Linked DNA regions of Mus musculus. The protein of the gene in region 1 purifies or fractionates together with the protein of each later gene. This does not show direct contact. Links are inferred from orthologs where the notes say so. Each region holds a gene or a part of one and is shown on either strand. Other genes may lie near its edges. The genes, in order: Rhou and Pak1.

Evidence for each region.
Region 2: the proteins of Rhou (region 1) and Pak1 purify together in Homo sapiens (co-immunoprecipitation; 5 studies listed by BioGRID and IntAct, with this or other methods). This does not show direct contact. The link is inferred for Mus musculus from reciprocal best matches to the Homo sapiens genes RHOU and PAK1.

The regions. Positions count from the first base shown.
Region 1 is NC_000074.6:123,652,660-123,656,567, reverse strand, and holds the start of Rhou (rho-related GTP-binding protein RhoU), read right to left. Parts: upstream 2,640-3,908; 5' UTR 2,623-2,639; coding exon 2,352-2,622; intron 1,077-2,351; coding exon 1,018-1,076; intron 1-1,017. UniProt on the Homo sapiens protein: Binds to and activates protein kinase PAK1. Plays a role in the regulation of cell morphology, cytoskeletal organization and focal adhesion assembly during cell migration. Also stimulates quiescent cells to reenter the cell cycle.
Region 2 is NC_000073.6:97,841,788-97,845,695, forward strand, and holds the start of Pak1 (serine/threonine-protein kinase PAK 1), read left to right. Parts: upstream 1-1,151; 5' UTR 1,152-1,354; intron 1,355-3,908. UniProt on the Homo sapiens protein: Protein kinase involved in intracellular signaling pathways downstream of integrins and receptor-type kinases that plays an important role in cytoskeleton dynamics, in cell adhesion, migration, proliferation, apoptosis, mitosis, and in vesicle-mediated transport processes.

The DNA.
Region 1 (3,908 bases):
GCCTAGATTTTGATGTTCCCTTACCACACAGTGATATACTGATGGTCGTTGGCTTTCCCCCACTCATAGCAAAGGTGCCAAACAGCTTTCCCAGCAGTCCATTAAGACAGCCTTGTCTTCTGTCTCCTCAAGGTCTCAAGAATAAGCCAGTCCCGAGTCCCAAGTTTGCTGTCTTACAGTAATGAGTTAGCTAAAGGCCCTGGCTTGGATGAGATCTGGAGACACAGGAAGGCCAGCTTTTTCCTTAGCACGGACAGTCAGGGAAGCAAAGGGGTTACTTATCCCCACTGTACCCTGTCAGCTCCAGACATTGGGAGAGCAGAGTTTGCTGTCACCTGGGCACCTGAGTACTTAGGACCTCAGTGGCTAGAACAGCTTCTAGGGCAGCTTTAACCCTTCTGTGGGGCACTCAGGGGGTCCTACACCTATGCCTCCTGCCTGGCTTCCTTTTCTAGTGTTTTGCCCCCGAGACAAGAATGACCAAACAGAGTGGCCCTGCCTTTCCCTGCTCCATTTATGGTGACTCTGACCACTGCTCTAGAGCAGGGAAAGACATTTGTTAACATAAGCTACTGGTTTTTTTTTTTTTCTTTTTTTTCCTTGAACAAGCGTTTAAGTCTCAGGTTCATTAGCCTTGAATCAATGGATTATAGGACATGAGGGGCTTCCTCTGAGAAACGCTTACAAACCATTCCTGTGGTTTTTCTTTTGTAGCCTAAGCTAGGCCATGAGAGGTACCCGAAAGTCCTATGAAGATAAGGGGCAGTTCCCGCAGCGATGGCTGCCTCCCCAGCTCCTTCCCAGAACAGGCCGACCCTGTTTCACTGGCCCCGAGGTGTCCTTCTTGGCCTCCTCCCACTGCCCTCAAAGGAGATGAAGCAGGGGTGGGCCTGCTTCGGCGAGTTTCACAATGACCCAGTTACTAAGGGAATCATTTGGAAACTGCAAAGGTTGTTTGGAAACCTTTAAAAGGCTGTTTCCTTTCCCAGTGCCTGAGCTGTGTAACTTGATACCGACCTGTCCTGCAGTGTCACAGAGCTGGAGTCTCACAGGCCGCCCATCTACAGACACCACGGCTTGGGAGAAAGAAAAAAAAAAAAGAGCAAGATGATTATCAGGACATCTTTTACCCTCTCAGCAGATTGGCAGTTCCTGCTCTGGGTTCTCTTAGTGAACTAAGGACTTGGCTACGCCCAGAAACCCATGGAAGTGTACAAATGTTCCAAGGTGGGGGGCTCCCTCCACCACAGAGCATGAAGCAGCAAAGCCCTGACCTCCAGAAGGTGCCCCGGAAGGCTTGTTTTCCTTTCAAGCCTGGAAGATTAATTTTCCTGTCACCCTTGTTTCAAAGAGCCTAGAAACAACACAAGGTGGGAAACCAACTCTGCACTTTTAAATCAGTGGACAACCTCATAGATAATCCTGTTTTCTCTTGGGAAAAAAAAATCTCCCTGCTTCAGGGTTTATCATAAAACTCCAGCAGTTTTGAGAACTTGTGCAAACACAGGCGGCCTATCACCCGTGCGTGTGTGGAAATGGGCACTTCTCTCTGTCAGTTCAAAAAGAGGATTAAGAAAAGCTGGCAGAGAGAAGCCACACAGATTTTCCCCCAGGGTCCAGAGATAGGGTGAGAGCAAGGACCCCCCATCCAGTAAAGACTCGGAGGTTTCAGCTTATATTAGGCAATTTGTCTCCTTCTGATAGCATTTCTGGTTGTTTATAAATGTTTATGCTAGTGAGCGGTGGAGGGGGCACCATGCACTTCTGTTTTATCCATAGGGTCTCTGAAATTAGAGACTGGCCACGGAGACTGGAAGTCGGAGGTAAATTTTTTAGGAGGAAGATTTTTCACACTAGCTTAATGTGATTTTTTTTTTGTAACTTTTTCTTAAATTCCTGAAAGACTTTTTAAAAAATCAAGAGAAATGATTGCTTTACTTTTGTTATCTTTGTGTGATCCACGAACCCACCCACCCTTGAGAACTTGCTGTAACTAAACGCCAAGCTGGAGGGACTGGGCCAACCGTCAGAAACCGAGACAGCGCAGGCGGGGCGCAGGCCAGGCAGGCGCTGGGCTCAGAAGAAAGGAACGTTCTCGCAAGCCCCAGCCCTCCTTGGTGCGCCTGGCCGGCTCACACACGGGAGCAATCCGGGTTGCTCCAGGCGAAGATCCGCTGGAAGTGAGCCGCCCCGGAGGGCGCAGGTGGGAAGGCCACCTGAGCTGCAGCTCGCTCCGGAATCCCGGAGCCAGACCGGTCGGACACCCCGCTGCCACCTCGCCGAGCCGCTGCCCCGAGACCCGCGCCGCCCCGCGCCTCCCAGCCCGAGGCCGCGCCCCGCCCGGCGCTCACCCGAGAAGTTGTCGAAGGCCGTAGGGATGTACTCGGTGGGGTAGCCGTTAGTGGTGTAGCTGACCACCAGGCTGGTCTTGCCCACCGCGCCGTCGCCGACCAGCACGCACTTGACGCCGCGTCCCTCGGCGCCGCCCGCGCGCCCCCGACCCCCGGACACCCCGGGCCCGCGCGCCCCGCGCCCCCCGCGCTCTCGGCGAGGCGGTACCGGCGGCGCCGCCGGCGGCTCGCAGCGGGCGGGCAGCGCCGGCCGGCCTTGCTGCGGGGCCATCGCGGGGCGGCGGCCGCGAGACCAGCTGCCACCGGCGGACAAAGGCGGCGCACGGTCCGCACTCGGCTGGGCGTCTGTGCCCGCGCGGCCGCGATGTGGCCGAGCCTGCTCCGCCAGGCTTCCCTGCGACACCGGCGGGCGGGGAAAGAGGCGGGTCCGGCGGCTCCTTCTTCTATCCGAGACCACAGCGCCCCCGTCTGCGCGCCGCGCTGGTGAACTACGCCGGCGCCTCGAAACGGTGCGGCTGGACTAGCTGGCTCCACCACGCCAACCCACGCGGACCCCGAGCTACCCCTGGCCCCTGCTGTGGGCTTCTCATCCCCCCACCCCCCTTTCCCGGCTCCTTCCCAAGCTTCCTTTCCTCCTCTTGCTCTCCAGTTCCTCCTGCCCTGCCCCCTCCTCCCCATCCTTCTGTTCCCCCTTCCCTCCCGGCTCTTTCTCTTCCCTCTCCTCCTTCTCCCTCCTTAGGTCGCCCCCTATTCTCTTTCTACTCCACAACCTCCTTTCCGCGGTCTCCCTCTCACCATGATCACCCTGCTTCTTCCACTCTTCCTGTTCCTCCAGCTGCCCTTGCTCCTCCACACAAGTGTCTTGGTTTGGAGGGGGAGAGTGCTGTGGGGCCTGCCTGCTTTTGCAGTCCCTCAGGAGAGATTATTGTCTTGATAGCCAGTCCTGATGAGTAGGACTTAAGTTTGATTGCAGACAAATGTATGATTTTTCTGTTAAAAATCATTGATTCTCATTTGGATGCAGGATACCACCCTTTGTTAGCGCTCCCTCTCTTTGGCATGCTGTGACCTTGTGTGTATTCATGGTCCAGCAAATTTCCTTACAGTCTTTAGTTAAGTGCAATTTTGGCTGCCGTAGTATTATCTGAAAAGCTAATTGTCTGTTCATTTTGTGCTGCCCTTTCTCTGCCTGGTCACTAATGCTTCTGATTTGCTTCTGGTGTAAGAAGAGCTGTGTGCTGTTAATATTAATATTATTTTGCTGGTGGTAAAGACAAGAGCTAGGGGCCGAGAGAAAGGGAGAGTGGTTAAGAGCACCGGCTGCTCTTCCAGAGGTCCTGAGTTCAATTCCCAGCAACCACATGGTGACTCACGACCATCTGTAATGGGATCTGGTGCCCTCTTGTGGTGTGTCTTAAGACAGCCAGTGTATTCATATAAATAAAATAAATAAATCTTAAAAAAAAAAAGACAAGAGCTAGTTAAATACTGAGCCTTTGTTATGTCCCAGATGTTGTTGTAACCATTCTGTCAAAACGAATTCCTTTAATATTAGCA
Region 2 (3,908 bases), on another chromosome or scaffold:
TAAGCCAGACAACCCAAGTTTGAACCTTAGGACACATGTGGTAGAAGTAGAAAATTGATTCTCATGAGTTATCCTCTGATCTCTACATGCATACCATGGTATATATGTGCCACCTACCCTCACCCCATAACAAATAATTAAAACCCTCTAAACTCATTAGTTATGGCCTGGAAGAGATAACTGCATAACTTGATTCCAGTCATGCGCCTCAAGGGCAAGGGATGAGTTGGGTGAGTGTAGTGAGTGATGATGGGAGATACTGACTTCTGGGTGTACAGGAAATATGTGAAGGTACATTTTTTAACATTTCAGTCTTAAGGAAGCACCGTTTATTGGGATGGGGAAGACCAGAGTTGTTTCTTTAATGTGTCATCCAGCTCCAAGTTCTATTGTAGTGACTGGTATCTGACAAGTGCTAAAGAAATTCTGAGAGTGGTGTAGGGCCTACTTCATAACTCTGTGAAATAGACATAGGTTTGTAAAGTGTGGGGACACATAGTAAATAGCCCTTAACAAATAGTAGCTGTTGCTGAACTTTCTCTGTTCAAAGGAGGTGGTTGGTATAGGGACCACCTTATTATCTTTCATGGGACACATTTTAGAGAGTCAGCAGAAAAGAATAATTTCCCCCTCTCCATTCTAGTCTGAATGAATCTTGAATCTAATTTGAGTAGGTCTTGATTCCGGGGTTCAAGAGGACTCCCACAGGCTCTAGAACAGCTGTTCTCAGCTTATAGGTCCAGATCCCTTGAGGGGTTGTTGAACTACCCTTTCACAGGGGTCACCTAAGACCATTGGAAATGTCAGATATTTACATTACAATTCATAGCAGTAGCAAAATTACAGAATTACAAAATTATGAAATAGCAACAAAATTAATTTTATGATTGGGGGTCACCACAATGTGAGGAACTATATTAAAGAATCGCAGTGTTAGGAAGGTTGAGAACTACTGCTCTAAAAAGCCTGTCTGGTACCTCTTGTTGGAGCCTGGGTTGGGAGAACAGCAGAGACAATCAGAACATTGGTTATGTATTTGTTTCCCGCCCCTCAGCGCCTCTTCAGAAAAAAAGGGGCGGGGGCAGCGCTCTCCCCGCCTCCTTTCCTTCCTTTCTCTGTTCCTCCCTCCCTCCCCGCCCCTTCACTAAGCCTCTGTGTCTTTGCTGCCGCCCTACGTGGGCCTGAGTGTGCTGCGCCTTGGGAGCTGGGTGGCTGCGCTGCGGCGCTTAGCCGAATCCAGCCTGTCAGGCTGGTTCAGCCCGGGCTTTGTCCCAACTGCTGAGCAGGGAGAGGTGCGGCTCTGCGACAGATACACAAGATCATCAGAGATGCTGGGCCCCGGACCCACCGCCAGGTAATGCTGGCTTTCCCTGGGCCTGGCATAGCTAGACTGAGAGCTGGGGTAGAAGGAGCGGGTGTCTTTCTGCCTTCCGGGGAAGGGAATGGGGAGAACATTACATTTCACTTATATTAAGGGATTCTTAATAAGGAAAGGGCCTGGTGGTGTAACATTGAGATAAGCCCCTCAGGGCTAGGCCTGTGCTGGAATAAGGCATCTGGCTAGGGAAGGTTATGAAGGGGAAGCTGGATTTTTTGGGGAACTGCATGCCTCAGGGGCCCCACTCCTTTGTAAGCATGCTTCTGCATGGTGGCCAGGGTGATGCTTTTCTGTGCCTTGGTTTAGCTGCGGTTTTCCTGGGACCCGGAATACTGTTCTCTGGTTGGAGATGTAGTGAAGATAGGAGACCCCTGCAGCTGTTCCTGGTCAGGCAGTCTCTATGAGCCTTAATTTCCTTATTTGAAGAGAAGGGCTTAGCATTCTGTAACTGTGCCTTTCCTAGGCTGTAAAATTTACCTTGGAAAGGTGAGCTAGGTAGAGACAGAGGAGCCAGCCTTCCATATGCATCTTGCCGGTCTGTTTAGAACCAGTGACTTCATAAAGTGCTAATGCTTCTGTTGGGGCTAAGAGTAGATATGTTGAGTGTGGGGTGTGGGGTTGAGAAGAAACAGGTGAACGCATGCTAATTTTTTTTCCTGAACTGGCCAATTCTTTGATACTTAGATCACTGCTATAAACTAGGCTGTCTTCTCTGGTGCACTGTTATTGATCTGCTAAGTAAATAACAGACCTTGACACTATGTAATATCTTAATCACTGTAATTCCTTCCTTTATTATCTGGCACCAAGAAATACAAATACTAACCTATGCTGATTATTTTGGACCTTTCTCATCTTGGTTACAGAGGAGCTATGCATTCCCTCTGGGAAGCCTTCCTGCTCTTCCTTTCTTCCTCCTCTTCCTGCTGGTCGGCTTTCCTTGCCTGCCCCTCACCTGTTTTCTGATCTCACCAGTTTCCTTTCTTCCTTTCCTTGTCTTCACGCTTTCCACTTCTTGTCTCTTTTCCTTCCATAACCATGGTTTCTTTTTTCTGTTTTCCTTTTTCATTTCTTCCCTGGGTCCTCTTCTTCTTGGTTAGGCTCTCTTCTCTTTTCCTTTTAGAATCTTTTATTGTGCTTTCTCATTGGTAGTAAGTTGCTGACTTGGAGGGACCTTTGCTGTGATGTTTGTAAGGTCCAAACATTCTAGCTTCCTTGTTTTGGACCTAAGCTCTGTTTTCCTTATGTGTCAGGCTGTCTCCTTACTGCCCTCAAGCTGTGTTTTGAGGCTTCCTAATAAGTAGTTATTTTTCCTGGGTTTATTCCCCATCCTTTTCCTTGAGAACCAAGGCAGAATGTGGGCAGAAGGAAAAAATCATGGTAGGAAGTCAGGAGCTTGAAGGCTCGAGCTGGAGAACAAGTACAAATACAGCTAGCTAGGAGACCTTCCTGAGAGCCCCTCACTGAGATGAGGGCTGGGAGATAGCCAGTTTCCAGGGGCACAGTGGGATGAAGAGAAGAAGGGGGAGTCTTGGGGCAAGAGTGTTCTTTAGGAAGAAGAGGGTGGCGTTGGCATCAAGATGGGGGTTATTAGGGGGTAAGGGTAGCTGTAGAGGGAACGATTTATAGGCTATGTAAAAGATGTGTAGCCATATAGGTTCATTGTTTTCCCTCCTGATGGTAGGCTCTCTGAAGAGGATTATTTTTGCTCTGCATCTTTCTCCCCCCCCCCCACCCCCCCGCCCTCTCCCGCCCCGTAGTGTCCTAAAGTGAGAGAGTCAGAGGGGAAACAGAGATGAGACTGACAGGGTTATTGTTTCATTGACACTCACTAACTAATATATGCAATGTGTGTGCATGTGTGTATGCATATATACACACACACATACAAGATATCAATTTGGTATCCATCATTAACTGTTCTCTCTGGTTGGTGAGAACATTTGCCACCAAGCATGATGAGATCTGAGTTCTATTCCCATGTTTTATATGGTAGGAGAGACTAATTCCTACGAGATGTCTGGATATGTGAGCTATGGTATGGTCTCACCACTATCCCAACGCACACATGTATAAATAGATGTAATTTTAAAAATAAACATTCTCTCAGTCACCTGTAGTATATTAGTTATGGTGCTGGTTGCTGAGTACTGTTGGTTTTTAAAGGAGGTATTTAGATTCATTTGCTGTGTTCAGATGCAGGTCTAGGGGTGGACCCTCATGTGTAGTGTAGAGGGGAGCACAGGGAGCTATGATAATGTAGTGGAGGAAGACTAAGGTTCAACAAATCAGTGCCAGGGCTGCACTGTAAACTCAAGTCTTCTTTAATTGTGATACACATTTACTTAGACTATGTTATCTTGTGACATTAGGTGCATGTTGTATATAAAGAATTTTCTTGTTTTTTTTTTTCTGTCTTTGGGAATAAAATGTAGATATTAATGAAATAGAAAACAAATTTACATGTGGTAGGTTATTACGCCCTGGCCAAACAAATTCTCAGAAGGAAGCAGACTTTGTCCCTGTTTTT